3 linked regions of the Alligator mississippiensis genome follow. The protein of the gene in region 1 purifies or fractionates together with the protein of each later gene. This does not show direct contact. Links are inferred from orthologs where the notes say so. Each region holds a gene or a part of one and is shown in the gene's direction. Other genes may lie near its edges. The genes, in order: WDR48, PPP1R9B and PHLPP2.

Evidence for each region.
Region 2: the proteins of WDR48 (region 1) and PPP1R9B purify together in Homo sapiens (affinity purification with mass spectrometry; 3 studies listed by BioGRID and IntAct, with this or other methods). This does not show direct contact. The link is inferred for Alligator mississippiensis from reciprocal best matches to the Homo sapiens genes WDR48 and PPP1R9B.
Region 3: the proteins of WDR48 (region 1) and PHLPP2 purify together in Homo sapiens (affinity purification with mass spectrometry; 5 studies listed by BioGRID and IntAct, with this or other methods). This does not show direct contact. The link is inferred for Alligator mississippiensis from reciprocal best matches to the Homo sapiens genes WDR48 and PHLPP2.

The regions. Positions count from the first base shown.
Region 1 is NC_081828.1:209,182,635-209,193,248, forward strand, and holds the start of WDR48 (WD repeat-containing protein 48), read left to right. Parts: upstream 1-6,442; 5' UTR 6,443-6,491; coding exon 6,492-6,539; intron 6,540-10,614. UniProt on the Homo sapiens protein: Regulator of deubiquitinating complexes, which acts as a strong activator of USP1, USP12 and USP46. Enhances the USP1-mediated deubiquitination of FANCD2; USP1 being almost inactive by itself.
Region 2 is NC_081827.1:169,683,298-169,693,488, reverse strand, and holds the start of PPP1R9B (neurabin-2), read left to right. Parts: upstream 1-5,834; 5' UTR 5,835-6,394; coding exon 6,395-7,786; intron 7,787-10,191. UniProt on the Homo sapiens protein: Seems to act as a scaffold protein in multiple signaling pathways. Modulates excitatory synaptic transmission and dendritic spine morphology. Binds to actin filaments (F-actin) and shows cross-linking activity. Binds along the sides of the F-actin.
Region 3 is NC_081833.1:77,616,663-77,626,459, forward strand, and holds the start of PHLPP2 (PH domain leucine-rich repeat-containing protein phosphatase 2), read left to right. Parts: upstream 1-5,356; 5' UTR 5,357-5,360; coding exon 5,361-5,435; intron 5,436-5,556; coding exon 5,557-5,777; intron 5,778-7,877; coding exon 7,878-8,011; intron 8,012-9,797. Other genes in the region: AP1G1 (AP-1 complex subunit gamma-1), read left to right, coding at 1,308-1,406, 2,482-2,583. UniProt on the Homo sapiens protein: Protein phosphatase involved in regulation of Akt and PKC signaling.

The DNA.
Region 1 (10,614 bases):
AGGGCCAGACACTCAGAATCATCATCCCACAGAATCAGGTCCCGAAAGTCCTGGGAGCCACAGGGGTTCGACCCCATGAGACAACAGTGATATCTGTTTTTGCTGACAAATTGGTTCAGTTGTGCTGGGGCACACCCTAGAGTTTGGTTTGTTAATTAAAACAATCTGTTGGTGATTAGGAATTATAAAGGATTATGTTAAAAGGCAAGGCTTTTTATGATATTTGTTATTGGACCAGCTGTATAGTTGGGAGAGCTGCTAGACAAGTTTTCGGGCATCAGGACCTGAGGTAGGACACCTGATGCCTGAAAACTTGTTGAACTACACTGTCCTCCCAACTATTGGGAGTTGGTCCAATAAAGGATATCACAAAAAAACTTTGCATCCTGGAGCATCACAGCTATAAAAACATCAAACCTACTATAACATAAAGGGTTATTTCATTTTATCAGAAGATACCACAAAAGGAATTATAGTCACATAAACATTTCAATGTGTTTTAAAAGACACAATAACAGGAAATGATTTATAAGTATACAGGGAAACCACTAAGTTACAAAAAGAAATCTCCAACTTTTTAATGGACTAATGCATGCTGAAATGTAAAGAGCCAATTTGGTCAGTACTTGCCTAAGTAGAGGACTCCATTGTGCTCCATTCTTCCTCACTTTAGGTTCTGATAAAGCAACATATTGCACTTGTGAAAGCATCTATGACTCTTTGGTAGCTAGATAGTCTTAATGTGAAGCCAATAGAAAATTGAATTCTAATAAAAACTACCTTAAATTATGCCTGCACAATATCAAATACATTAAACAAAATGACATAGCTTTTGAATTCTCTTCTCAACAACCTTAGCTCTTAAGATATGCTTCTAACTGCTAACAAAAAACATTGTAAAGTAGCTGAAGTTTCAAATTTCTGGAAGAAGCTGGGGTGAGATCAGGTCAGGGAAGCCTGCTCTTTAAGAATCGTGATGCTCCATTAACAATAAAACCGTGGCATAACCAGGAATGCTAGAACCAAGAGTGATCTGTATTTATGGACTCCATGCTCAGGACTGCTCCTCAGCTGTGTATGCTGTTTAATTTATGGGTTTGGGCACACTCGAAGTAGGTGCAAGCTGGGCTTATATCTCATTTGCATTCTTGGGCTCACACTGGAGGCCTTAGAGATATCAGTGCAGCAAGTAGGGGCTGCAAAGATTTGCCAGGTCTCTTAAAAGCTTTTTTATTCCAAGCGGAGTTCTAATCTATGTGTCTACAAGATACCTTAAACAGGGTTCTCCCCTGCCCTGTTCCCCCTCCTCTCCCTCCTGGATACTTCTGTACACTCTTGCCATATACCTTTGCACTGATGCTGGTGGGTTCTGCAGTAATATCTCTGCTAGCTGAGGGTCTCTTCCCATATACCTTTGGCAAGAGACCCTCAGCAAGCAGAGATATTGCTGCAGAACCCACCAGCATCAGAACCCTACAGTCACCTGCATCTTTTATTCAATTGTTCAGAAGACCTGGCAGGCCATGCAACCTGGGACAACCAAAGTCTACGAAATATAACACGGAGTCGACACATTCGAAGCCTTCTGTACACATCTGGGTTTTTGCAGTGCCCAAACATGGCTAAAAGCAGCAAACAACTTCCTTAATGTTCAGATTTATGGAAGGAATTAAAAAAAAAGTTTGGCACCTCACAAATGTGTATACATCATATTCCAACATGTTCATGTTCCAACAGGATGGTCAATGCTGCAGAAGACAGACGGATGGAAGGAACTGCCAGGATGACCCGATACACAGGACGGAAAAACATAATTAGCTGTGTGTCTGAAGTCAGGTAGAAGGTGAGGTAGATGTGCGCCTTATAAACTAACCAAAGTAGATATATCCCACTGCCTGGGTTAGCTTTGGTGACTCCTGTGTTCCTATGGGTTTACTGGTTGTTTGCTTGTCTCTCCCAGCACTGTCCCCCTCCCCACTTCTCTCTCTCTCTCCCCCCTCCCTTGTCTTTTGTATTCTCATTTTCCCTCTCCTTAAACGTGGCTTTCTGCACATCCTTTCATATAATCTCTGATGAATTGAGCTTCAGATCACAAAAGCTTGTGCTCTGTCCGTATCCCTACTTTGGTTAGTCTATATGGTGAAAATACCCTGCCTTCTAATAGAGGAAGGAACCATGCAACGTTATTTTAGAGCTCTGCAAACATAGTTGACAGCGCAAATCAGATGTGAGCCCCAAAGGATAAGTCAAAGTATGAGCAAAGGAAACAAAAGGGACAGACGGAAGAAACACAAGGTAAGAAGGAGAATCCACAGAAATCCTCTTGCTGACATTTCATGTCATTACATATGCCCTTTAATCATTCAAACCCTTCCTGTTTTCAAATTGCTGGGGGGGGGGGTGCATGTGCGTGCGTGCGTGCATGTACAGTTTTATTCAGAAAAATGACTGTAAAATGACCATTTCTCAGCCATGGCATCTGTTCCCTATATGTTCAGAACTGTGACACAGAACAGGACAACTTGTGCTGCAGCTAATTGTCCCCACAGTGTGTGGCATGTTACCCCACATGGGGTAGGGGAGGCTGGGCCAGCACTGTGCTGACCCTGGCAGCCTTACCTTAGCTGGGGGCCTCCCCCGGGTCTGCAGCAGTGGCGATCCTGTGCTGCTCCGAGCCTGGCCGGCGGTGGGAGCGCCACTTCTGAGCGATGCACGCTGCCCCATGCACGCTGCCCCGCTTTATCCAGTTTCCCCATGTGAACAAACATACCCCAGCAAGCAAACGTTTACGCCAATGTAAGGCTTTGCTGGCTTGGTACAGTCCACTTGTGGGCAAACTCACGGTGCGGGAAGGCCGGGGAAGAAAAAACAAAAACACTAGGCACTTTCCTGGAAAACACAAAAGGGCTTGTGACCAGGAAGAACAACGGTAATTGGAAAAAAAAAAAAAAAAGTGATCAAATGCTTTGCCAAGGGTACAGTGAAACAACACTGACACAAACCCACGCCGTACCGTCTGCCTACCGTCCAGTCCTCCCAACAATGCCTGCGGAAATCTCCCTGGGTCCCTCCCCTCTGTCACACTGACCAGCTCCCTCCACGAGGGACCTGCACCTGCCGTCTCCTCACAGGGACCCCAACTGTCACTGCCTCCACCCCTCCCCCTGCCTGCCTCCAGAACACTCCACCCCTCCCCCTCCCCGCCTGCATCCAGAACATTCCCCCCTTCCCCCCACCTCCAGAACTTTCCACCCCTCCCCTGCCTTCTTCCAGAACATTCCACCCCTCCCCCCACCACCAGAACATTCCACCCCTCCCCCGCCTTCTTCCAGAACATTCCACCCCTCCCCCGCCTTCTTCCAGAACATTCCACCCTTCCCCCCACTTGCCTCCAGAACATTCTGCCGAGCCAGAGCTTCCTCTCGAGTGTTTCTCCCGTGGGCCCGTGACAAGAATCACTCTTTACTGCCATTACGAGTAAATGGGAGTGAATAGGCGATACAGCTAGGCACGACTCAGCCGTGGATGATATCGTATCTCGGCACATCCAGAGGCTTGTTTCCCAAATTCCAGTCCGTTAGGCCCGAATCGGCATGCAAGACAAGGGAGTTTCACAGAGATGACAGAGGACCCATTTATTTCCTGCAAAACCGCTGCTACATGGCTGGTGCATGAAGAGGCACTGGAGGCCTTCTTGCCTGGAAGCGCTGGCTGAATCCGGGGCACTTTTACACGTGCTCTGGGGATGGGGGTGGCGGTGCTTTGATCAGAGCATCTCAAAGCGCTGCCGCGTCTACTCTATCAACATGGCAGCGGGGGCACTTGAACTGAAGCTCATTCAAGCACCTCCACCATCATTTTTAAGCATGATACACGAGAGGCACAGCAATTGTCACACTCCAACAGACTCAATGAATCGAGTCTGCTCTGACACAGCGGACATCCAGCGCGTTGGAGCAGCCCCCGTGCTCATGCGTAGATGCCCGGGGAGACGAGAAAATAGAAAACACAAAGCTTTTTATATGAAACCACAGAGACAAGTGCATGTAGTCTGAAATCACTGGAGTCACGTTTCAAAACAGAAGTGTCCTTGCTCTGTGCTACTCAGGGAGGCAGGTATTATTCCCAGTTTAGAGCTGAAGAAACTGAGATATAAAGTGAGGGGATGGGCTATAACGGTTTGCTGAATTTCCCAGGGATCAAACCAGAATGGCATTGTGTAATGGTCCTCAAAAAAAGGCATGGGGCCATCACAATTTGCTGTTCTCTCTTGCCCCAGAAAGTCTCAGGGCACCACAGTGGGGCCTGGGCTGTGGCACCGGCAATGCCGACTCGAGGTCACGGGAGAATTCAGGGACTTTGCTTTTCCAACCAGCACGCTCTAGCAGCCTCCACTCCACGTGTATTCAGCGTCCCCACACTTAAAAATGGTGGCAGAGGCACTTGAACTAAAGCTGATCGAACGGGCTTTAGTTAAAGCGCTTCCACCACCATTTTGAAGACTGGGACACTGAATACATGTAATGCTAGAGATGCTTTATGTAAAGCAGTTCTCAGTAAAGCACCACACCATCTACCCTGGAGCATGTGTAAAGACGCCCTATATGCCTACACTTGGCCTGCGGAGCAGTGCGAGCTGCACTGGCTAAGCAGCAGAAGCTCATGCCTGAGTGACTGCAGTGTGAATCGCTGTGGATGCAACAACTAGCTTAGCCAGACACGCTGATGGCATGTGCTACCAAACCTTAATGAAACAATGCACTATATTATGGCTTTATCTTAAAACATTAGGAGTGTGTGACCACATGTATTCAATGTTTTTTTGCTATAATAGATGTTTTTTTTTTCCGTAGATTATCTGTAGAAACAAAGCAGCCTTGCTAGAGAAGACCATAAATTAGAGCAAAGAAGTACAGTAACAGGAAAAGGAAACACGAAGCCCTCCCTCTTTACTTTCCCAAGCCTTTCTGTGCTGACAGGAGATCTAGTTCCGTCCATTCTAACAACTTCAATGAAACAAGGAAATTAAAATAAAACCGGTCAGAGACCATTTATTGGAATATGAAACCCAGCCAATTGTAAACATTGGCATAAGCTAAAAAAAACTTCAGACTTCTCCAAAGCTCAGTGAACCAACTGAAGTCCCCAGGGGAACAGAAAAGCCTGGCCAGCGGGCCAGGTTCTTCCCTGAATTCAAGGCTACACAAACATTGTCTTTATTGATACAGTGCAAGTCTTTGCTAGTACATAGTCCAATAAAGCATTTGAGTTGTGACTGGAACGGTCTCACTAGTCAAATAAACTCCTCTCACCCTCCATTAACAACCAGTGTAACACCCCTTGCTGGTCAGGGCGCCGGGAGGCCGAGCCGCGGCTGGGGTGACACGAGGCTGAAACAGGCTGCTAATGCCCAGGTCTCGATGCCTGGTTCCATTTTCAAAATGAATCTTTACCCAATTAAAGGTTGTGAGCAATGAATTAGATCTGCTAACGAGCTACAATTCCATCAACAACAAACATTGACAAATCCAAGTGTAATATAATATCGCCTATCAAGTACATTGCCCCGAATAATAATAACAATAAAAAGATGAGGCTGGCATTATAGGGCAAAATCTGTTTTGGGTCAGGCAGCTCCCAGCCGGGAGTCCCCCAGAGGCAGACATTTGTTTTGACCTGAAGCAGGTTTTGCCCCATAATCCCAGTCTAAAATCTTTTTATTTAGGCCAAGGTGCCCGATTTGGAGTATTATATTGCATTTGTCTTAGTGTACAGCTTTGATAGAAGTCTAACCCGAAACCCGTCTCAATCATTGCTTGCAATTGCATCAAGGTGAGCTCTAAAAAAAGAAGCGGGAAGAAGGAGCCCGCTTACACCTTCTGTCACACCAGCACCCCGACCCGCCAGGCGGGCGCCCCCGGTATCCTGGCACCCTCACCCCCGCCCCCTCTGCACAGCACTGGCGGGGGGAGGGGGGGGAGCAGAGCCCCCAAATTCACCCATCACCTCAGCCGACGCGGTCCTGGGGGTAAATCCGATATCTGCGATTAGACCGACTCCAACAGCTGGAGAAAAAGTTCTTGAGAGCAAGCTTTCGGGCACGAGCACAAAAAGGCACGGGGGCCCGAAAGCTTGCTAAGAAGAATTTGTCCAACTATGGGAGTCGGCCTCATCAAAGACACCGGATTTATGCCAAGAGCCACGTCTGCTCCTGTCCTGACGGGGACACAGCTACACCCCCGCAGCCCAGAGCCGCCCCACTGCTGCCCCGAGGAGCCAAGGGACGGAGCTCCCAACACCCACAATAGCGCGAGTTGCCTGCGGAAAAGCGAGTAGCCCAAACCCTCCACGGCGCGCGCGGGAAAGAACCGCGGCCCCGCCCCTTCCGCACCGCTCCCCTAGCAACCGCGAACGGCGGCGGGTGGCGGAAGGAGGGGGGGCGGAACTTCCGGGCCCTGCTCGGAAATGACCTCAGAGTGTCAACATGCAAGATGGCGGCGCATCACCGACAGAACACGGCGGGTCGGCGGAAAGTGCAGGTGAGGCGGCGGGGGCCGGCGGGGGCCGGCGGGGCGGGGCCAGGCCGGGCGGGGGGCTCCGAGCTGTTGGGGGGGAGGAGGGGGAGAGCGCTTCCCCCAACCGTCACCAACCGCCGCCGTGGGCCCCACCCCGCACGTGCCCGGGGCCCCGCCCCGCCTGTGCCAACGGCTGCCTGCGGCTCGTGGCCGCCGGGGCGATAACGGCGTGAAGCCTGCTCGGTTGCACAGGCCGTGCTGTGCGCGTGTGTCTGTGGCGGGAGGGGGGGGCAGACACAGCGACCGTCTCTCACCGGGCATCGGAAAGTCCTGGGGTGGCAGCGTCCTTCCCCTTAGGATGCTCGTGCAGCCTTGTCGCACTGGACTCGAAGTCTTGCGTGGGTTTTGTCCACGCGGATTCGCTCCTGGGCAAGGACCCATTTTTATACCGAACCTTTGCCCTACGCGAGGTCAATCAGCTGTTACACGATCGGTGCGGGGAAGCCTGCAGTGCGCTGCTTCGTGTGGCAGGAGTGACCCGCACCGAAACACAGTCTCCCGTGCGGATCAGATCGGATCGGATCGGTGCTCCTCGCTCGTTGTCTGCAGCACGTGTTTCTATGGTTGCCGTCTCTGTTATGGTACCACGCGCCACCCCCATGCTTGTGCGCGTGGTTTTTTTGCTGTTGGCGAGTACCCAAATTGTCTTGCGGAAGTGGTAGGAGTGGGTCTGCGGGGTCAGCGCAGTCGAGGTCTTGGATCATATCCCTAGTTGTTGCGTTGTAATGTGGGTTCCCGTTGTGTCAATTCAGGCTGTGCGCTGTTTTCCAGGAACGCGTGTACAGCATAAAGCGAGGGAAACCTGCATGTGTTATTTTTTTTTAATGATTTCCATTATCTCCTACATTGATTTCCGCCCCCACCCCTTCACTTCCTCAGTTTTAAGATGCTTTTACTTATGGGCTTGTTTCTCATGCACCCTCCTTAGCAGAGATTTCATACAAACCACTCTTTTGTCCTCTCCCTTTGTGTCTTTTGACCCTGCAGTTTGTGTTAAATTATTTCTGTTTGCTTCTGGCTTGCTGTTCTCATAAAACATTTCATGTGACATCCAGCAAGTAGATTCTGATGAAGAAAGGGGGGGGGTTGCACCTATGACTTGGTGGGGCTAACAGAGACCTGGTGGGATTCATCCCACAACTGGGCGGTACATATTGAGGGCTATAGATTGTATAGAAAGGACAGGTCGGGGAAGAAAGGGGGGGGGGGGGTTGCACTTTATGTCAGTGAGCAATATACATCAACCCTCATCAAGACAGAAACCGAGGTTGAGGAAGTAGAAGGATTGTGGGTTAGGCTACATGGGGGGCAAGGAGAAAGGGATTTGGTGGTAGGGGTCTGCCACAGACCCCCACATCAAGGGGAAGAAAGAGATGCGGGGCTCCTGAGGCAACTCTCGGAGACCATAAAAGCTAAAGAGGCGGTAGTCATGGGGGACCTAAACTACCCGGACATCTGCTGGGAGACGCAGACAGCAAGGTCCCATTGCTCACGCAGGTTTCTAACCTGTGTACAGGACCTCCACCTGACACAGGAGGTGCATGGTCCCACTAGGGGGAATGCCATACTGGATCTGGTATTGGCAACGGAAGATGACATGATCGGGGACCTCCAGATCGGTAGCCATTTGGGAGACAGTGATCACCTTATAATAGAATTCAACATAAGAGTGGGTAAGGTAACTAGTAGGGTGAAAGTGCTAGACTTTAGCAAAGCTGATCTCAATGCACTCAGGCGATTAGTCAAGGAAGCACTGCAGAGTAGGAGTTTTGATGGGATGGGAGCCCAAGAAGGGTGGCTGTGCCTAAAGGAAACGATCCTTCGGGCACAAAGCAAGACGATCCCCGAGCGAGGCAAAAGAGGGAAAGGGGCCAGGAGGCTTCCCTGGCTGACCAGAGAAATCCAGGGCAGCCTAAGGGCCAAAAGGGGAGCACATAAAAAGTGGAAACAGGGTGGGATCACTAAAGATGAATATACCTCCTCTGCTCGTGCTTGTAGGGAGGCAGTTAGGCGGGCCAAAGCTACCATGGAGCTGAGGATGGCAAACCGAGTAAAGGACAACAAGAAATTGTTTTTTAGATATATTGGGAGTAAAAGGAAGGCCCAGGGAGGAATAGGACCCCTGCTAAATGGGTGGAAACAATTGGTGACAGATAGGGGGGACAAGGCTGAACTCCTCAACGAGTTCTTTGCCTCAGTGTTCCTAAGCGAGGGGCACGACAAGTCTCTCACTGGGGTTGTAGAGAGGCAGCAGCAAGGCACCAGACTTCCATGCGTAGACCCTGAGATGGTGCAGAGTCACTTGGAAGAACTGGATGCCTTTAAGTCTGCAGGCCCGGATGGGCTCCATCCGAGGGTGCTGAAGGCACTGGCCGACGTCATTGCAGAGCCACTGGCGGGAATATTCGAACGCTCGTGGCGCACAGGCCAAGTCCCAGAAGACTGGAAAAGGGCTAACGTGGTCCCCATTTTCAAAAAGGGGAGGAAGGAGGACCTGAGCAACTATAGGCCGGTCAGTCTCACCTCCATCCTTGGTAAAGTCTTTGAAAAAATTATCAAGGTTCACATTTGTGAGAGCCCGGCAGGGCAAATTATGCTGAGGGGAAACCAGCATGGGTTTGTGGCGGGCAGATCGTGCCTGACCAACCTAGTCTCTTTCTATGACCAGGTTACAAAACGCCTGGACACAGGAGGAGGGGTGGATGTTGTATACTTAGACTTCAGGAAGGCCTTTGATACAGTATCCCACCCCATACTGGTGAACAAGTTAAGAGGCTGTGATGTGGATGACTACACAGTCCGGTGGGTGGCGAATTGGCTAGAGGGTCGCACCCGAAGAGTCGTGGTGGATGGGTCGGTCTCGACCTGGAAGGGTGTGGGCAGTGGGGTCCCGCAGGGCTCGGTCCTTGGACCGATTCTCTTTAATGTCTTCATCAGCGACTTGGACGAGGGAGTGAAATGTACTCTGTCCAAGTTTGCAGATGACACAAAGCTATGGGGAGAAGTGGACACGCCGGAGGGCAGGGAACGGCTGCAGGCAGACCTGGACAGGTTGGACAAGTGGGCAGAAAACAACAGGATGCAGTTCAACAAGGAGAAATGCAAAGTGCTGCACCTAGGGAGGAAAAATGTCCAGCACACCTACAGCCTAGGGAATGACCTGCTGGGTGGCACAGAAGTGGAAAGGGATCTTGGAGTCCTAGTGGACTCCAAGATGAACGTGAGTTGGCAGTGTGACGAAGCCATCAGAAAAGCCAATGGCACTTTATCGTGCATCAGCATATGTGTGACGAATAGGTCCAAGGAGGTGATACTTCCCCTCTATCGGGCGCTGGTCAGACCGCAGTTGGAGTACTGCATGCAATTCTGGGCGCCACACTTCAAGAAGGATGCGGATAACCTGGAGAGGGTCCAGAGAAGGGCAACTCGTATGGTCAAGGGCCTGCAGACCAAGCCCTACGAGGAGAGACTAGAGAAACTGGATCTTTTCAGCCTCCGCAAGAGAAGGTTGAGAGGCGACCTTGTGGCTGCCTATAAGTTCATCACGGGGGCACAGAAGGGAATTGGTGAGTATTTATTCACCAAGGCACCCCCAGGGGTTACAAGGAATAATGGCCACAAGCTAGCAGAGAGCAGATTTAGGTTGGACATTAGGAAGAACTTCTTCACAGTTCGAGTGGCCAAGGTCTGGAACGGGCTCCCAAAGGAGGTGGTGCTCTCCCCTGCCCTGGGGGTCTTCAAGAGGAGGTTAGATGAGTATCTAGCTGGGGTCATCTAGACCCAGCACTCTTTCCTGCTTATGCAGGGGGTCGGACTCGATGATCTATTGAGGTCCCTTCCGACCCTAACATCTATGAATCTATCTTTTGGCGTTACGTTTCTCGAGCAAGATCTTCAGCACAGCTTTATGTCTATATTAGTCCTTGATTTGATGTTTCCACTATTATGGTTTATGAAGCACCTACTTATCATTTACAGGATCTTGGCATTGGTCTTTGCATAACAAGAAGCTAAAAACAACATGTTAAATACTTTCTGT
Region 2 (10,191 bases), on another chromosome or scaffold:
TATTGAAGCTGGTGGCCATGATTCTTGGTCACTCCAGAACAGGGACAGGTGATGAAAGTCACTTTTCCATTCTTCCTGTCTGAAGAGGATTGTGCAGGAGAAACCACGTGTCCTTTGGCATAAATTAAAGCAGCGTTGGGGCTGCTCTAGCCTCTCCCTTCCCATGAGCCCACAGAGCTCAGCTGCAGGGCAATGAATTCTGGCCACACTCCCTGGCTCCCCTTCTGAGCACAGCTGTTGCGTTGCCCTTGCACTGGCTGCCCAGGCTGATTCCCCTCAACTCTAAGGCCTCAAGAGTCTGTGTTGTACATGGACTTCAGACGCAGTGAAGCTGTCTTGGCATTTCAGTAGCAAAGGTGGAAGGAGAGTCCAGAGTGATTGCAGGCCCTATAAAAAGCTTGAAAGCAAAGCCAGTTCCTAGAAGGTACCTGGAGCTAGGAAACACCTCCTGGGAAAGTGCTGGGTCCTTGGAAATGCTTGAACCCTGTGGGAGGTGTGGGTAGTGGTTGCACCTAATCAGGGAGGGGACCAATGAGTGGAAAAGACACATTCCCCCACCCCGCCAACACACATCCACGCACACATACACATGGGATCTCCGTGGCGACAGAACCACTGTGCCTATTATTAATAATGCTGGTGAATAATTCATAAGAGCTGCCGTTTAGCTAAGCCCTTTCATGAGAACGCCCCCCTGGGCTCTTGACAAACTGATTTGCAAACAGTGGGGTTCAATTCTCACTCCTTCCTCACACCAGAGTAAATCACAGGCTTTGAAAGAGTACCCCTGGACTTACCTCCGCACAAGATTAAGCTCTCCTTGTGGGGCTTCCCCTGCAGTGGGTGGGCTGCCACCTCTGGGGTTGAGCACAGCGGCTGGCAGTTTGGGTCAGGAAGTGAAGAAGTATCCTGCATCTAAGTACAACCAAAATGAGGAAGAACATGCAGAAGTGATGAATGAGCCAGGTTTGTCTTTGGGGTGATTCTCCTGACTGTCACCGGCTCATGTTGAGGGTGAATTTGGCATACTTGCTTTAGAAGCAATGATGTCAATGTGACAGGAAGTGGAGAGTTGTTTGAGCTGGTGACTGCAAATGTGGACTCCTGGGTTCCATTTCAGCCCCTCTGAGAGCATGGTGTGTCTGCCTGCCTGACTCATCTGTTTTACTTGCCCCTTTCATCTCTTCTGTTCCTCTACACCATGACACCTGGGTGTGTCTCTGATCAATGCCTACAGGCATCAGAGGGAAAGCAAGTGCCTACTTTGCAGGCTGAATCTGGCTGCATCGTGGATCTCTGTAGCCTGCACAACACATTCAGGTTCTTCTGAACCCCAGCTGTCCCTCCTGGCTGCAAAATGCACTGAGTGGTGCCTCCTGCCTGAGTCTGCAGACAGCCTGAAACGAGGAAACCAAGATGCCATCTTCCTTGCCCTCTCTCCACTGTAGGGCTTGCATAGTCCTGACCTGATACCTTGGCCCAGGAAATGAGTTCAGCCTGGGCTGATGCTGTTTCAACAGGGAGAGCAGGGAGATGGGCACAGCTGTGGTTCACATAACACCATGCTCCATTTAGCTGCAAGAGATATTAGATTTTCTCTCTCCTGTCCTGTCTGTCTCATGCCCTGCAGCAGCACCTGGCAGACTGGCATTGGTGTATGTCACTGATTTGGTATCACTAGCTCCTTAAAGCCTGGGGTGCAGATCAATACTCATATCACCCCCACAGTCCCAAGTCCTGCCGTGTCCCTTGTTGGTCAGGCTTTGCATTGGTCTATATCCCTCCCAAGTTCGCTTTCCATAAGTGTCTGCAACTGGCTCTTGCCCCTTCTTATGGAGCAGCTGCAGAATGACCCCCATCAGGTCTGTGCTTGCCCCAGTGCAGAAAACTGTAGAGAGTCTTTTTCCTTCCAGTTCCTCCCAGCGCAGATGGCTTGAGGAGATGAGTCTGAACAGTGTGTTCTGCAAGCAATGTGGCGGATCTATCTGGCAGTTCCTCTCCTATTCTCATCTTAGTGGAAATACCAGTGCAGTCTTGACAAATAAACAGCGTGGTAGCAGGCTGCTGCATAGACCCGTGCATGGCTTCCCATGCAGGGAAGGGCATGAAAGGATGGGACCTCAATGACCAGTTGTGACTGGTGCTAAATATGTTCCAGGCCTGCTGAGCAGAGCCTTTATTTCCTCATTACAGATGAAAGTCTCCCATCCCCCAGGGGGTTTGCCTGACAAAATCAGGGTGGTCCATATGATTCAGCTATGGGTGATCGACGGCACCTGTTTGGGCAGGGCATGTACTAGGTGGCAGGTCAGAATGATGAAGGTGCTGGTAAGGACAGATGAGTGCTTTCTACAGGTCATGGTGAGTCTCAGCACAGGGGATGGAGCCCAGGGTGGGGGTAGCATAGGTCAGGGTTGGGGTGTATAGGCAGGACAGTACAGGCAACATCTGGGCTGTTGGGATGGGGGAGATACTGGGGCTTAGTGTTAGATGGACAGAACAGGCTACATCAGGATGCTGGTGCCTGGGAAGAGATGTAGAAAGACTAAAAATATACCTTGCAGGACAGCTCAGAGGAGATCACCTAACACTATCCTTTCCTCCCAGCCGTCCTGGCTCAGGCAGTGACCTCCAGAGCAAATCCAGGTCAGTACTTGAATGAGACCTACAAAGAGCCCTGCAGGATGTGCTAATAGTGATTCAATGCATTTCCTTCTGACTCAGTGCTGATTCAGTCCCCTAGCCTGGCCTTGTGCTGCTGGAGGTACCCTGTCTCACATGAGAGGTGGGCCTGCCTGCTTTGGGCTTGTTAACAAATTCCACTGCAGTTGGATGACAGCCAGGGTGTTCACCCCAATGTCCTAGAAAACTGTATTCTCTTGTCTCTAAAATTCTCCCTCTGGATTTTCAGCCTGGCAAGGCACACAGGTCTAGTGACCGCTGCGTTCCACCCCAGAGGTAGCTATATTAAAATAGCGGGTTACAACAATCCTGGGGCATAGTTTCATCTAAACCCATTGGTGAAATGCTTTGTGATCCTTTGAGGATTTTAATGAGTGATAAAATTTGGCTTGGAAATCCAGTCCCCCCTGGCTAAGAGCACGTTTCTAATTTTGACAATACGGAAAGACCACTTTCCAGTCACTTGGGCCAAACGATTGTTAATTGTTTGAATCTGCAGGAAAAAGCCCTGTATGAACCAGGGAACAGGTGAGCAAAGAGTTAGCAAAGACTGGGTGCTGGATAAGGTACTGCCTTGGCTCTTCAGAGATTAGGTTTCTGTTTCCACCTTTGCCACTGACTCCTCATGTGACCTTAGCCAAGTTCCTTGATCTCCGGGCCCCCATTTCCCACATCCAAAATGGAGACAATACGCCCCTACCCTCTTCCTTGGCTTTTTAGACTGTAAACTCTTTGGGGCAGGGATGGCTTCAGAGTGTGTGCAGATGCAGCGCAAGGCATGAGGAGGCCCTGCTTTTCAGACTGTACCACAATGCAAATAACGAGCAAGAATAACATAATGGGGTTTCCCATGAAAAAGTGTCATGTGCCTGTGACCTGACAGAAAAGCCCTGTACTTTGGGCCCTCAATAAGTCTTTGGGAGACCTCTGTCACTGCTTTGCCCTCTTGCTTCCCCTCTCTGCTCCCTCTTTCTTACTTGGGGCTCAGGACCCCCAGCATAGGGAAATGTGGGTCCTGCTCCCAGCTCAGCCAGCCCCTGTCACAGCCACTCTGCCAAATCTCTGGACCTCCATTTTCTCTTGCTCTATCAAGATTGTCAGCTCTTTGGGGTCCCCCTCATGCAACGTGTACAGAGCCTTGCACACTGGGACCGTGAGCATGATGATCACAGCCTTTAGGGGCTGCAAAGGATTAATCAACTGGGAATCCCTGACATGCGGTGATGGGCTCCCTGTGGGATTTCACCGTGTGCCTCTGCCTCTGGTTGTGCCCTGGCAAGGGTTAATGCTGAGGCTTGATGAGTCAGGTGAGAAGTGACAGTCGCTGCTCACTGGTACAGGAATCCCAGGTTGGCATAGGGCAGCATCCTGCGGCCGCTGGGACCCAAGCCCCTCAGCCGCACTCCCTGCTAGCTGCTAGCCCTCCCCAGCTGGCTCTGCAGCAGCTGTTGGGCTCAGGCTGGGGCAGGGCGGGCTGCGGGGGAGAAGAGGGAACTGTGCTGGTTCGCACACAAAAAGGCAGAAGATGCAGGAAGCAAGGTAGCAGAGGGGGAGCTTTTGTCGTGTGGCATCTGCAGGGTCCTGGTGCCCACTGACTGCTTGTGCCTGCGGCCTCTGGGGCAGGAGCAGACCTGGGGTTAGCTAGGACCCCTCATACATGTGCCCAAAGCTCAGGTTTTCCCAAGAGAGGAGTGAAATGGGGGAAGGGGGGGGGGCTCAAGTGGAGCCCCTGAAGTAGGCAAGCACTAGTGGGTGCTGGATTCCTCATGCTGGTACCTGAACACAGGGCTCCTTGCTCCCAGCCCTGTGCTCTAAGGGAGACGGGGTGGCGAGATGGGTAGCAGGGCATGGCAAAGAGGAGGATTGGATGTGCTCTGTGGCCAAGCCCTACAGCTTTACAGCCCTGCCCCCAGCCGAAGAAGGAGGTGCACCATGCAAATCAGGAGTTAACAACACACACTGACAGCAAGGTGTCATTGCCTCTGTTGGCGGGGAGGGAGAGGACAGTCACCAGGTGTCTGAGCAGCTGCTGAAATCATAGACCAGGTTCTTCACACTCAGGCACCTCTGGGCCCCAGGGGGCCGAGCCACCGCTCTGTCAGCACCTCGGCTAAGCAGGTTCCTTCCAGCCAGCTGCCCCCCTGCTCTCTCATTTGCCAAGGGAAGCAAGGCTGTGCAGCTCCTGCTGGTTTCAGTGCAGTTTGCCCCACTGAGAACCAGCCCCTCAGAGGCAGGGCATGTCATGGTCAAGGTTGCCAGAATCTGGAATGGGCTCCCAAGGGAGGTGGTGCTGGCCCCATTGTTGGGGGTCTTCAAGAGGAGACTGGACAGGCACCTGGCTGGGATCACATGACCCCAGGGTTGGTGACTCTTTTCTTGCCTGCCAGGGGCAGGGGGTTGGACTAGGTGGCCCACTGAGGTCCCTTCCGACTCTTTGAATCTGTGTCTCAGGGGCTGACTTCTGGCTGCCCAGGCTGATTGTGTTGCAAGAAAGCAGCTTGGGCAAGAAAGGTCCGGCCCAGACCCCCTTCTGACTCAGTGTTGCAGGCAGAGCCGACCCTAGGAGTGTACAGGGCCTGAGGCATATCAGCCTGTGGGGGGGGGAGGGGGGGGCAGGGTGGCGAGTGGCCGGAGCGCAGAGCCGGTGGTTTGTGGCATCCGTGCAGAATGGTGGCACCCTCGGCACGTGTCAGTGGCGCTGTCCACAGGGCCTGTACGGCACTGTCCACAGAGCCCCCCAAAAAGCAAGGTCTGGGGCAGTCACCCCAATTCACCCCTGCCCGAGGGACAGCTCTGGTCACAGGTCACTGGGTCATGGGAGAAGGAAGAATGCCCTGCTCACTCACCCAGACACGTGCCTCCAGCCGCAGACAGACCGAGCCCTTTGGCCCAAAGTTGGGGAAAGGGCATTAGGAGCTGGCGGGGGCAGGGGGAAGAACCCAAGGACTTGGCCCACTGAGGCAGGAAGAGCCTAACCCTTTGCCAAAGCCAGGAAGCTCGAGGGGGTTGGGTTACATTGTTTGTCAATTTTTTAAATAGTTCATGGGGGGGAGGGGGTGGAAGGCGGGGGCTGGACCTTCTTATGCCAGCCCCCTCCTGGCTTGGCTTGTGGTCAGTTAGTTCAGTGGACTAGTCTTTTTTGGGGGGGAGAGGGAAGGGTGTCGCCTTGCAACTGAATTTCCTTTCTCACTTGCCAAAGAAGGGGGAGGAAGTAGAGAGGAAAGAGGATTTGGTTTCTCTAAGACCCAGAGGAATCCACGCCAGGGCGGTAGGCTGTGCAGATTGCAGAAGGGTTAGAGCATTCGGTCTCCATCACCAGCCATTCAGGCGCAGAAAGAGACAGAAAGGGGGAGGAAGAAGAGAAGGATAGAGAGACAGGAGGGGCAAGGGATCTCCACACCTGGCCGGACATGGCCAGAACTGAGCCACCCCCTTAGGAGATCCCGCAGTCTGGTCCCAGCCTCTGGCAGCTGAGTGGTGGACCAGTTTTGCCTTCTCCCATCCCCTCTCCCCCCCACCCGCATTTCCCTTTCACAATGCGAGCCGCTGTATTGTAGACAGACAGCACAGCCTAGCCCCTGCCTACAGCCGAGGGGTTCTGGTGATGTGAGTCCACTGCAGCAGGAGATAGAGAGAGAAAGAGCCAGACAGACAGAAGAGGCAGAGCGAGGCTATGTGGTGTAGGCGACAGGCAAAGCCTCCTCGGTGAACCATGATGAAGACTGAGCCTCACTCCTCCAGCCCCAGCAGCAGCAGCAACAGCAGCAGCCTGAGAAGCTCCTCGCCTCACAGGAACGCCTACGAAGCTGGAATACAGGGCCTCAAAGCCACGGAGGATGCCCTTGGCGCCGAGAGCGAGGAAGCCAAGAAGGCCAGGAACAAGAAGTATGGCTCCAACGTCCACCGGATCAAGAACATGTTCCTGCAGATGGGGACCACTCCGGTGAGTGAAGGGGCTTGCGACCTGGCCAAGGTGAAGGAGAAGCCTGTCAGGCTGTCCTTGCCCCGGGCCAGCAGCCTAAACGAGAATGTAGACCACAGTGCACTGCTGAAGCTGGGGACCAGCGTGTCGGAGAGGGTGAGCCGCTTCGACTCCAAGCCTGACAAGCCATTCTCCAAACTCCAGGAGACCCGGAAGATCTTCGAGAGGAGCCTCCAGGAGAAGGAGACCACCAACAAACTCCTGCTGAGGAAGGAGAGGGCTGGCTTCCAGGACAGGAAGCTGGATGTGGTGGTGAGGTTCAATGGTAGCACTGAGTCCCTGGACAAGCTGGACACGGAGGCCGTGTCGCCCACTGTGAGCCAGCTTAGCGCTGTTTTCGAGAAGGCCGACCTGAGGAACAACCTGCACAAAACGTCTGGCAAAGTTGGGCCCCTCAACTCCAAAATTGTCAGCAAGAGGTCCCGGGTCTTTCTCCAGAGCCAGGAAGCGGGCAAGGCAGACCCCAGGGTTGGCGATGGGCCTTCACTGCAGGCAAGAGTCAGGCAGCTCGAGAGTGAGAAGGCGCAAGCCAAGCCAGCTGCAGGGGGCCAGGGTGCACCCCGGGTGGGTGACAAGGACGGGGCAGGTCCACGTTCCCAGAGTGTCCAGGAGGTGAGGAAGATCAAGCCGGTGGAGGTGGAGGAGAGCGGGGACTCAGAACAGGAGGCCGAGGTGGTCGAGCGGGCAGAGGAGGTGGCTTTTGAGCAGGACAAAATCAAGGGTACTGATGGGCAGACACCGGGGCCCGACCTCAGGGCAGAGGTGATCCAGGCTGAGGTGATGGTGCACGCAGCCTTGGAAAATGGCAGCCTGGCTGCAGAGAAACATTTGGAGGCCCCGGAGGTGGCTGCTTTTGCCGAGGAGGTGGGCAAGGCCGAGGGGCAAGAGGAGGCCGACCTGGGCGACGAGTCCAAGAAGGAGGACTTCTCGGAGGCTGACTTGGTGGACATTAGTGCCTACAGCGGGCTGGGGGAGGACTCGGGTGGGAGCGGGCTGGATGAGGACGAGGAAGCCGATGGCCTGTATGAGCCGGAGTCAAGCTGCTTGGAGATCCCGGGACTCTCAGAGGAGGAGGAGCCGGCGCCCAACCGCAAAATCCACTTCAGCACAGCGCCCATCCAGGTAAGGGGGCAGGTGCCATGGCACCACCCCAGGGGGAGGGCAGCGCAGGGCACTGCAGCCAACAGGATCTGCCCTGCATTGGCACGTGGTGCTATGGAGGGGACGAAGTCCCGGGTAAGGGGGTGATTCTCGTTTTAGGGCCTTTAGGGAGGAAATGACAGAGCTGGGAATAGAACCCAGGCATTCTCAGCTCTGCGCCTCCCTGCTTCCCAGCCACCTGGGTGTCCCCTAGCCAGCACCCCAACTCATCCCAGAGGCTCACAGGGCGATCCCAGGATGCTCTGCTTCCCCTGCCCACCCCAGTTGGCCATCTGCCCAGGGACTGGTGTTCTCAGTGCTTCCCCCCCACAGGCCATTTGTTGGCAAGCGCCATTGAAACGCAGCAATTCTGGGTTGTGGGGGCTGGTAGCATCCAGGCAGGATGCAACAGAATAGAGGCCGAAGAAATGTCGGTCAGGAACGGCAGAGCTAGGAGAAGGGTCGGGGGCTGCCGAGGTCTAGGCAGGGCAGGCACGGCCTTGAGGAAGGTCTGGTTTCCCTGCCACCTCCACACCACTGTGATAATCCGAGTCAGCCCTTCAGGTCGAGGTGACCCCGGTGAGTTGAAGAATGGGGAGCCTGAGGTTGTGGGTCGTAAAGCCATTCCCTATAATAGGAGCCAGCAGAGTCCTCCTGCCCCTTCTCCTGTGCAGGTAGAACCTAGCCCAAAGTTGGAAACCACCGAATATTGACCCCGTGCATCCCAGGGTGTGGGGCAGCTCCTCGTTCAGAGCCAACGAGGCCATCCTCTGGCATTTCAGACCGATCAGTGTAGTGTGAATGTCTGTGTGTGCAGGCCCGCGTGGAGGGCTCTGGATGGGGCATGTGACTTCCTGAATGGTGGCGGGGACGGGGAGGGGGGGCCCTCAGTGGCACGGGCTAGAGAGCATCATGGAGACTAGAAGGCTGTTCCCTGGTCCTCTTCTGCCTCCCAGCTGGGTGCCTGTTTTTTCTCCAGGCTGGACAGCCTTAGTAGGAGGAAGAAGGCTTGCAGCTACGGGGAAGGCTAAGGGGAGGCATCTGCTATCCAAGACAAAGTCAGGGGGTGTCTCGCCACTTCTTCCTAAGCCTGATTCTCCACACACGTCTCCTCAGCGCCTTTGGGTGTCCCTGAGAACTGGCCATGCTCACCCCAATGCCAGACTGCAGTGCCAGGCTTCTATCTGCTGTGACCCCCTGAGCTACACCAGGGATAGCTTTTGGCCTGGGGTATTTGATGTACTGTGGCTGAATAGTTAAAGGGAATGGAGGCCAGATGTCCTTGCATCAGTCTCTTCCCAGCCCCCCTTGGCAGAGAGTGGTGTGGACTAGGATGCAGGCTCTGTCATTCTGCGTGTGATCACTGATTTGCCAGTGATCCCAGCTGAGCCTCAGATCCAGGTCAGACCCCTGATTCATGGAGTGGGGGAAGGCAAGGGAAGTGACTTCCTTCCAGACGGGGTGCTCCTGCTCCCCTCCTCCTCAAGTGGATGTGGAGTCCAATAGAGTCACTAAAACATTGAGGGCTGGCGCACCCCACTGAAGGGCATCAGGGCAGGCATCTCACTTGGGGCAGGAGAGGCTACTAAAGCAGAGTGCTGGGTTTCACTGCCCGCTCTGCCCCTGCTAAACTGGGTGGTTGAGGGAGTCCTTGCTGACACAGCCAAGTGTGGGCAACCAGGCTAACTGAGCTCCTCCTGGGTTCACTGGCTGCCTGCAAATGCTTGGGCAGCAGGCACTGTGGAGCAGAGGATGTACAGCCATCAGCCTGGCAGCTTGAGGTCATCCAAGGGTGCCAAGGGGAGCAGGGACCTGATGGGGTCCCTGCAGTGACCTAGCAGGGGATGGGTGTTTGGTACTGGTCAGCTTCTGATCTGTAAGCCACTGGCTTGTCTTGGCTTGGTGGTGAGCACTTCCTCATGGTAACCCCCTCTTCTTCCCTGACATGAGCTGTCCCAGTGTCTGGGTTAGTTCTCCTGGTAAAACCCCTTCTCTTGGGGCTGAGCTGTCTCAGCACAACAGTGGTAAGCCCTAGCTTAGACCTGGACACTGGTGGGCTGGGACATGCATGTGCACAGTGAGAACTGGACATTCCCCACTCAAGACCCCATGCTTGCTCGAAGCTTCATGATACAGCCGTGGCAGCATGGGGAATCACAGAATCCTAGAAAATTAGGGTTGGAAGCGACATCAGGAGGTCATCTAGTCCAACCCCTGCTCAAAGCAGGGCCAGCCCCAACTGGATCATCCCAGCCAAGGCTTTTTCTAGCCAAGTCTTAAAAACTTCTAAGGTTGGAGATCCCACAACCTCTCTGGGTAACCTTGTCCAGTGCTTTACTATCCTCCTAGTGAAAAAGCTTTTTTTAGTATCTAACATAAACTCCCTT
Region 3 (9,797 bases), on another chromosome or scaffold:
CCTGCATTTCATTCATCCTTGCAGCATCTGTGTGAGATCCGTAAGGATTATTCCCGTTTTGCAGATTAGGAATTGTGGTACAAGAGAGGATATGTAACTTGCCTAAAGTCACCCAGGGAGTCTGAAGAAGAACACTTGTTTTCTGTACCTGGAGTCCAGTGTCCTGCACACCAGACAATTTCCCACCCCCTCTACTCTGGTCTGAGGCACGTAGATAAGATTTCATAGACATCAGGGCTGGAAGGGACCTCGGAAGATCATCGAGTCCAGCCCCCTGCCCAAAGGGCAGGAAGTCAGCTGGGGTCATAGGATCCCAGCAAGATAAGCATCCAGTTTGGTCTTGAAGGTGTTCAGTGTAGGTGCTTGAACCACCTCCGGTGGCAGGCTGTTCCAGACCTTGGGGGCTCGGACAGTAAAGAAATTCTTATGTCCAGCCTGAAACGGTCTTGTAGTAGTTTATGACTGTTCGACCTCATCATCCCTTGGGGCGCTCTGGTGAACAAACGTTCCCCCAGATACTGGTGGTCACCCCTGATAAACTTGTAGGTGGCCATCAGATCACCCCTGAGCCTGCGCTTTTCCAGGCTAAAGAGCCCCAGAGCTCTCAGCCTGTCATCGTAGGGTCTGCTTCCCTGAGCTCTGATCATGCACGTGGCTCTTCTCTGGACTCTCTCAAGCTTCTCCACATCCTTTTTGAATTGTGGAGCCCAAAACTAGACGCAGTACTCCAGCTGCGGCCTCACCAAGGCCGAGTACAAGGGGAGAATGACGTCCCGGGATTTGCTTGAGAAGCATCTATGGATGCAAGCCAGCGTTTTGGTCGCTTTACTAGCCGCAGCATCGCATTGCAGGCTCATGTTCATCTTGTGGTCAATGATGACCCCAAGTCTTTCTTCCGTAGTGCTAGCCAACATAGCACTGCCGAGCCTATAAGGATGCTGCGGGTTTTTCTTCCCAAGGTGGAGAACCTTGCATTTATCGGCGTTGAACACTGTCAGATTCTCATCCGCCCACTTGCTGAGTCTGTCCAGGTCAGCCTGGATCACCAGCCTGTCTTCTGGTGTGGATGCTTTGCCCCAAAGTTTGGTGTCATCGGCGAACTTGACCAGTTCGCTTCTGACTCCAGTGTCCACATCATTAATGAAGATGTTGAACAGTATGGGTCCAAGGACAGAGCCTTGGGGGACCCCACTGGTCACAGGACACCACGATGAGTGACTTGCATTAATTACACATAAATGTGTTAGATGCCTGATGAAATGGCATAACTGTACTGTTTCTGAAAGGTCTTTTCCCCTTCTCTTCAGACATTCCAGCTGCAGCTCCTGTCTCCTAGCAGCAGTGTCATCCCAGCATTTAACTCGGGGACCATCACACAAGTCATCAAAGTCCTGAACCCACAGAAGGTGAGCAGAGTTGGCAGAAGGAATTCCTTATGTTTGTTTGAGCATCTGTGGTGTCTGGTATTGACTGATTTGGAACAGAGTCCTGTTTTTTCTCTGGGTGGAACAGGTTGGCTGGTGATGGGGAGTCGCAGGTACTGTGGTTATGGTTAGGAAAGGGCTTTGAAAAAAATCCAGTGGCCCACCCATTGATTCAGCCAATGGTAAAAGGAACAGGGGTCTCTTCCCCAGCAGCCTGGTTAATAAAGCATCTACAAGTGGAACTTTATTTAAGGGTGGCCCACATGGGAAGAAAGTGAGCATTGGCTTTGTGCAGTTTGTGTAAAGCAGGCCTGAATGCAGGGCACCGTTTTCACATCAACTTTGCCAAAACTGGTTGTCTCTGCTGTTTGCTGGAGCATTTTTGTAGTCTCTGATGTAGTTTTGGAATTTTCTTTTGATTTTTCTGTCTCTGATCAAGACAGCTGTTCTCTGAAGTGGCCAGAGTGTTTAGGAACAATAAAGAAACAAATTAAGTAGTTTTAAAGTTTGAGTAAAGGTCCCTATCCCTCTTGGCTGCTAGGACCTTGGTCTCTTGTGATAACAGAATTATGCTAATTCAGTAGTGCCTCACAGAGGCTTCCAGAATAATTGACACTAAAAAAATTCCTTCATGTGGAGAACAAGCCACCCCTTTTTCTTTCTCTTTTTTTTTTTTTAGACAACCCAACCTCCTGAGGCCCTCAGAGCTACCCTAGAGCAGCAAAGTCTTGAGGCTTGGTAGACTTGGGTCCCAGGAGGGTGTGTTGGGCAGAAGGGAGGGCACTCAGGGGTTTCTCAAGGGCTCCAAGATCAGGAAGTGACTTTGTGTTTGAGAAAAGCAGGTGATACCAACCCCCTGGAGTGGAGCCCGGCAGAGGGAGGCTCAGGCCTGAAGCAAACACCCTATAATGGGTGTGCCTGCTGGCAGAACAGGTGGGGCTAACACCATGCCCATGCCTCCTACAGAAACGTTGGATCATGTGTGCTGGGGAAGAAGGGGAAATTCAGTTGGGAGTGTGGGGTGGCAGAGCTGATCTCTTTCTCTCTCCTCCTGCAGCAACAGCTCCGTATGAGGATCAAGTTGACATATAATCACAAGGGCTCTGCGATGCAGGATCTAGCCGAAGTCAACAACTTCCCCCCGCAGTCCTGGCAGTGAGGCTCTGGCGTCGTTCTTACTCTCACCCCACCCAATCAAAGGAACTCTGGGAAGAAGGTTGTGATCCCTGGCAATCCCCCAAACTGCACCATGGGCACGGGGAGCAGAGAGACCTGCTGATGTGGAGGGGTTTCCCTGATCGACTGCTGACTCTGAAGCATATCTGCTAAGACTAATCTCCTCCCCTCCACTGATGAGGCTGGCTGCTTGTGGGGGCTACTCTGCACTCCCTCACACATGCATTCACAGCCGGAAACAACATTCCCCTTCTCCCCCCAAAAACACAGCCTGTTTGGAAGAGAGGACTGGAATTCCTTGCAGGGAAGCTCTCCCCCTCTCTCCCCTTCTCTCTCTCTCTCTGCAGCGAGTGAGCAGCTTCCCCTTCTTTCTGCTGCCTTCTCTCTGTGGGGTGGGTGAGGTGCATTTTGATTCATCACTAGCTGGGTAGACATCTTCAGGCACTTTCATCTGGGGTTCAGGTTGGAAACTCATCCAGAGGGTGTTAGGGAGCCATGCCTTTTTCTTTCATATCCCCTGTGCTGGAGGAGGCTGTCCACTCTTTGTGGCCAATTCTGTGCATTGCTGTATACACACACCCCACACACACACAACTTTAGTTGTATGATGATACCAAGGGCAAGTCACACCTTGGAAGTTCATCTGCAAAGCTGGGACTGCAGGAAGAGCGGTGCAGGTGAGAGATGAGCAGATGGTTGTAGTGCCGGAACTGAAACAAAGCCCTGGTGCACTTGGGTTTTCTTCGCTTTCCGTCGTCGGCTGCAGCTCTGCAAACTTGCGCAGGTGTTTCTGTAGCTGCCTCCTTGGAAAGCTTCACTATGGATGAGAGACTCTGAGCTCCACCCTTGGCTGACCCATCCCACACCCAAAGTTTCAGAACTTACTGTCCAGTCCTGTGGCTGTTGGCTGTGGTAGGTGGGTAGAAAAGAGATGTCGAGCTCTATTGCCCTTAAAGAAAAGGCCTTGCTGCCTGCTGGAAGACTCATCGTAGACTACACTGCAAAGTCCCATTTCCCAGCTACTTCAGATCCTTCCCTCCTTTAATTTCCAGAGCCTGTTAGACCCCTGGATTCCATTTGAGTTCGTTCTGACTGGGACATTTGTGTTGTATCTGTAACATTGGCACTGAAATAAAGACCATGCAGTTTAAAGAGACCTTTTCCCACTTTGTACTTAATTAAAGTATCTATCCCATGTTCGTCTTCAACCAGAGTAATTAAACAAGCTGTTCTTCATGTGGAAGCCTGTCTCTTGAGCAAGTGGGTCCAAAGGCCTGAGGTCTGGTGCCCTTCTCAGTCCTGGGCCATTCTTACAGCTCTTCTCGAGAAAGCATGTTGCTGCGCCACAGCCGGAGTGCGATGCCGTTCGGATGTCTGTTCCATGAGCCCTGCTGGAGACCGACTGGACGCCAGAGATGGGGGCACTTGGTGGCTCGCACCCTCCAGGAGCAGGGGAAGGAGAGGGGCACACTTTGGATCTTCATCCCTTGAGCCTGCTGATGTTGAGCACGCTCGTCTCCAGCTCTGCTGCTTTGAAGGAAATGGACTGCAAACCTGCGCTATTTCTCCTAGGCCCTGCCAGCGCCAAGCTTGCAGGGACCCGCCCTGCACACTCGGTCTCTGACCTCTTCCAGGACATAGACCTAGCACTGGACTGTGCCTGTTCCTGGAATGGTTTCCCTCCGCCTGCGCAAGTGCTTCGAGAGCAGGTTGTGCTGCTCTCCTCGAGACGGCTGGCAGAAGTGGCCCTGCTCGGCACGGGCTTGGGGAACGGCTGTCACCGTTTTGTTCAGACTGCTGGTCTCGGTGTGCCAGAAAATACAGCATAAACCCGGTGCGCTGTAGCTATGCTGGGTCTTTGCGGGCCGCGCCTGCCTGCCTGCCTGCCCGGCCGGCTGGCTCGCAGGGAGGGCTCGGGCTCGGGCTCAGCCACAGCCTGCAGCTCGGAGGAGGCTCCCTACGGCAGAGCTCGGCTGGAGCACGGACGAGGTGCGGCGAGCTGGCCCGGGCAGGTGCATCGGCAGCAGTGGAAACGCCGACGCAACCACCACGGGCGTCGGAGCTGGCCGTGCAGACAGCCCGCGCCTGGCACAGCTCTAGGCCAGCTCCAGCTCCTGCTCCTGCCTTGCTGCAGCCCGGGCGCAGCCTGCCCGGCCCCTTCCCGGAAGAGCAGTGGTGCCGGCGCACGAGGGCGGCGCGTGGAGGGCCGGCCCGCGCTCCCCCGCGGGGACGGATGCTCGCTGCCCTTCCCCGGGCCAGGCCCGTGGCCCGAGCAGCGCTGGGGGCTGCTCTCTGCCGCTCTGCGCCCGGCCCGGCCCGGCCCGGCAGCTCCCGCGGCGCCGTGTTCGTCGGGGCCGGGACGTCCCGCCAGGCGGGCCCTGCAGCAGCAGCAGCAGCAGAGCAGGCTGTTTGGCCGGCGCCCCGCGGAGCAGCGAGAGAGCCCGGCCGGGCGTGGGCGTGGGCGTGGGCGCGGCCCGGCCCGCGCGGGGGGTCTGCGGGCAGAAGGCGAGGGGGAGCGGACTGCTGTCTGACCGCCGGAAGTGGGTAGCGCTTCCGGCCCGGCCGGTCCGGGTCGTGCATGCTAATGAGGCGACGGAGGCGGAGTCTAGGTGGGCTGCCGGGCGGTGGGCGTGGCCGGCACGCCAGCGAGCCCGTGGGCGGGGCCAGGCGGCGGAGCTGCTGCCGGTAGGCTACAGGGGTGGGCGGGGCCGGGTGACGCGCGTTCGCGCGGGGCGGGGCCGGGCCGGGCCGGCCGGGCCCATGGAGGCGGCGGAGCCGGACGAGGACGAGGCGGGCGGCCGGGCCGGGCCCCGCGCGGGCCCGCGCCTGCTCAAGGTGCGGGGGCCGGGGCGGTGGTCGCGGGGGCGGGGCGGGGCGGGGCGGGTCCTGTCCTGCGCCCCCCACCCCCTCGCGCGGCGGGAGCCCTTCCCCGCGCTGAGCGCCGCTCTCTCCGCAGAGGCCGGCGCGGCGCCGCGGGAGCCGGAGCCGGAGCTGGCGGTTCGGGTCGCGGGAGCGGAGCTGGCTGCGGGAGGACGCGGCGCGCGGCTGCGTGAGCATCCAGGGCGCGGAGCCCGCGGCCGCCCCGCGCCTCGTGCTGTGCAGCGCGCACACGGCCGCCGCCGAGCTCTGCCCGCCGGGACAGCGCCTCTACCTGCAGCTGCACGGAGACCTGCTCAGGTGAGCCCGCCCCGCCGCGGGACGGGGGCTCGGCTCTCCAGGGCTCGGCGGGAAGCGTGCGCGGGCCGGGCCGGCTCCCCTCCCCTCCCCTCCTCTCCGCGCGCAGACCTCTCTGGCGGGAGCCGAGCGGCAGCGGGGAAGGGGCCAGGCGAGCGCGTGTCCCCGCGCCTGGCACAGTGGGGCTGGGGTGCCTGGTGTCCGCGCCGTGCCGCGCCCCCGGGGTTGTCGTCTTGTGGCCGTCGCCTCCGGACCACGCTGTCCTGGCGCCGGAGAGGAGCCGCTTGAGTCCCTGCAGTCTCCCCGTGAATCACGAGGGTTTCGGCCACTGCCGGGTCCCTTGGTCGCCGCGTCTGACGGTCCCGCCGCGAGGCCCCTCGGTGCAGCGGCAGCTCCTTGCGAGAGGAAACGGCCGCAACTTCGGTGCCGTTGCGTCGCGTGCGCGCGCTGTCAGCCAGCAGCCGGGGGGGGAGCAGCTGCCGTGGCGGGGAGGCGGGGGCAGGTTCGCAGTGCTGCACCCCTCCAGCCTCTTCCTTGCGCCTGTGGGGCGGCAGCCGGCAGCTCTGTCTGGGCCGGGGACACCTCCTGTTTTGCCTGGGAAGGCTGTCCGGACTGGCACAGCGCTACCGCCCTTCACTTGGGACGCAGCTGGCCGATGCCGGAGCGGCGTGGAGCAGATGGAAGAGGCTGAGCTCTGTGGGGGGCTGGAGAGCGCAGAGGGTGCCAGGCCCTGGCTTGTGCCTCGTCGCAGCAGCCAGGCAGGGCTGGCAGGGAGCAAAGGGCCTAGGCCCCGGGGGAGTTTGTGGAGAGGCTGAGAGCAGAGGCCAGGCCGGCGTGGCTCCGCTCCGCACAGCTCTGGTGACGTGGGAACGGAACGTGCTCGACCACGTGTTTCCTTACAGCGGGTCGGAGGCCCTGCCGCGAGGTACGTGATGTTTGCAGCCGGGAGGGGCTGGAACTGGGAAAGCAGCAGCTCGGAGACGGGCTTGTGGGTCCCAGCGGGGAGCACCCTGCACGTGGGCTCCCAGCGGCATGGCGGCGAGAGGGCGCGGTTCTGTGGGGTGCGGGCGGGAAAGCCAGGCGGCCGTGCTGCCTCAGCAGGCAGGAACCACACGCCCTGTGCTGGCTGCCCTGTCAGCGCATCCGCAGGGACGTCTCCATGCTGGAGGATGCTCAGCGAAGAGCGGTGTGTGCTGCTTGGCTGTCTGGCAAACCTGCCTGCCCCCAAGACCTCCGTGCACTCGCAGGAGAGGGGGAAAGGCAACTTTCATCGTGGGCTGTCAATACCAGCAAGGGAAACGTCCGTTAAGTCAGGAGAAGAATATAGCAAGGAGCAGTCGTGGGCAAAGGAAGCTAAGGAAACTCGGAGTAGGAGCAAAGGGAAGGCTTTACTGGTGAGGCTGGCTTGCCTGTGGGAGCAGTTGCCAGAGGGGAGTCGTCCTGACTCCAAGTCCTGTTGCTGTGGCTGGCGTCAGTCTCTGGGCTACTCTGGCTTGGGCAGAAGCCGGGGCGGGCTGCCAGGATCGCTCAGTGAGTCTCTGGCCTTTGCAGTGCAGGAGACAAGAGGAGAGCAGGGCTCCGCTCTGGCTCCGTCTGCTGTCATCCTGTGTTCTGGGGAGGCTGCTGCGTCCCATCCCCGGCGATCCCGGCACTGCTCTGGCCACCTCCTGCAGCTACAGAGATGTGCTTCATTGGGGATGACTCTTGAGTGTCTTGTTCCAGGAGTGCCAGACCAGTGTGACCAGCATGCTCTCTGATCTGCTGTGCTCTCAGCTGCATTCGAAGGGGAGGCGGGGGGCAGTTTGCACTGCGTGGCTGGGGCTGACTTGGAACGGGCAGCGGGAGCTTCACTGGGTGCAGAGTGAGAGGTGCTGTGGGAAGCCCGCCTGGCATGCGACTGCCAAGGAGCATGTGTCTCATGTCTCAGGGATCAGGAGGGCAGCACCAAGTGTTCGCATGTCTTGTGGCAGGGAGCGTGGATCTAGGGGCCCTACCAGCATGGCCAAGGATGCCAGGCCCCTTCCACACTGTAGCAGGAGCGAGGGCCTGGGATTAGGGCCAGGCCTTGGCAAACTAATTTCCTTTCCTGCACTTCATCCCCAGACGGCTGGAGCCCACAGAGAAGCCCCTGCAGATCGTGTATGAGTACCTGGCCAGCCTCGGGTTCGAAGATCCCTTGAGGATACAGGAGGAGGCAGCAAACGCAGACCTCAGCTGTATGATCCGTTTTTACAATGGTAAGAATGTGTCTGGCATGTGCTGTCGTTCCGGGGGCCGGCGCTGGGACTGCGCCTGTGCAGCAGGCAGTGCAGCTGTATGCTAGAGCCTAGCCCATGCTCTTCTGCCCTGAGGAGAAGGAAGGAGGGTAACTAACCTCTTGCATACACGTGCTTCATCATGAGTCATGTGCACAGCTGGGGATGGTGAGAGCACTGGGCTATAGCAAAGGCAGCAATGGTATGGAAGCTGCTTCAGTGTATCACAACAAGTCCATTTGTTAGTGCCGGGGGGGAAAGGCAGAGCATGAGCAGCCGACATGGCTTTGCACTGATTACCCCAATCTCCTCCTATGCCAGAGTTACTACCTGGTGGAGGAAGGGAACACAGTGGGTGCGGTGTGCACGTCTGGGCTTCAGCAGGGCTTTTGACCAAGTCCCGCAAGATGGAGAACTGGCTGCATAACCACAAGTCAAGGGTAATAACAAATGGATCCATGTCAGAATGGCAAGAGGTTTTGAGGGGGAGTTTCCACAGGTTTGTCTGGAGTCCAGTGCTGTTTTGATGAGCCTGTCAGTGACCTGGGTGCTGCGGTGGAGAGCTTCCTGGGGAGATTTACAGGAGAAGGGGAACTGGGAGGCACTGTGAGCACGCTGGAAGACAGGAGCAGAATTCAGTAGGGTTTGATAGGTTGGAAATCCGAGCTCATGCTTGGAGCTGGGTAGGCCTCAGCTAGAGTCGTGTGCGCTGTTCTGTGCTCCACACTTCGAGGAGAATGTGGAGAAGTTAGGGTCTGGAGGAGGGTGCCATAGGTGATAAAGACTTGGAAGGCAGCTGCAAGGTGTAAGGTTGGGAAAACTAGGCACTTCTGGCTTGGAGGAAAGGTGACTGATGGGAGTCTTTAAATCTCTGGAGGGCTGGACTGCTGTAGGGAAGACAGAGCATGACCACTGTTCCTTGCTACACAGGGCAGGATGGTAGGTGCTAGCTTCAGACTGCAGCAGAGCTGGAAGCACTTGCTCACTGTAGCGCAGTGAGGCAGTGGTAGCGATGGAGGCCTTGGAGGCGGCTGGCTGAGCATGGTAGAGGAGGGTTGAGGAGCAGTATCTTGCATCCAGGCAGGGGGTGGACCAGATGGCCCCTGAGGTGCCCTTTAGTCCTGTGGTCCTGTGCCATGGGACAGGAGGGTCAGAGATGGCTCCTGGCTTTAGATCTAAGGGTCAGCTGGAGTGTGGAGAGGCTTGTGCGGAGGGATTGGGAATTCACCCTGCAGCATGAGCCTGAACGGGTGGCCGAGGGGCTGAGGAGATGCTGACAAGCCAGGGCACACCCTCTGATGGCAGCAGATGGGTTCAACCAGGGGAGCTGGTTTGAGGGGCGTCCCAGGAGAGCTGCAGTTGCGGTGTGGGTGGGCCAGTGCACCCAGAGGGGCAGGGAGGGGCTTCCCAGGACCCAGTGGGAGAGCGGTCAAAGGTGCGGTCTGGATCCTGGGAGGAGGCATGGCAAGGCCTGTTGCAGAGGTGGAGGACGGGGGTCCAGTGCATTCTGGGCCGAGCTTTGCGCCAGGGAAGGCTGCTGGGAGCACCCAGAAAGGCTTCAGCTTCGGAGGAGCCACTTTGCTTCATGGGCAGGGTCACATCTGGTGCTGAAACCCATCAGGTTGCTCTTGCAGGAGGTCTGATCTTGGGCCCAAAGACCTTGCCTGTGTCTGGACTGGAAACAGTTTCATGCTGTGGATCCAGGCTAGAGCTAATCGCGTAGCGCTGGACAGCTCAGACTGCTGTGCGTCCAGGGGCTCCATTTCTT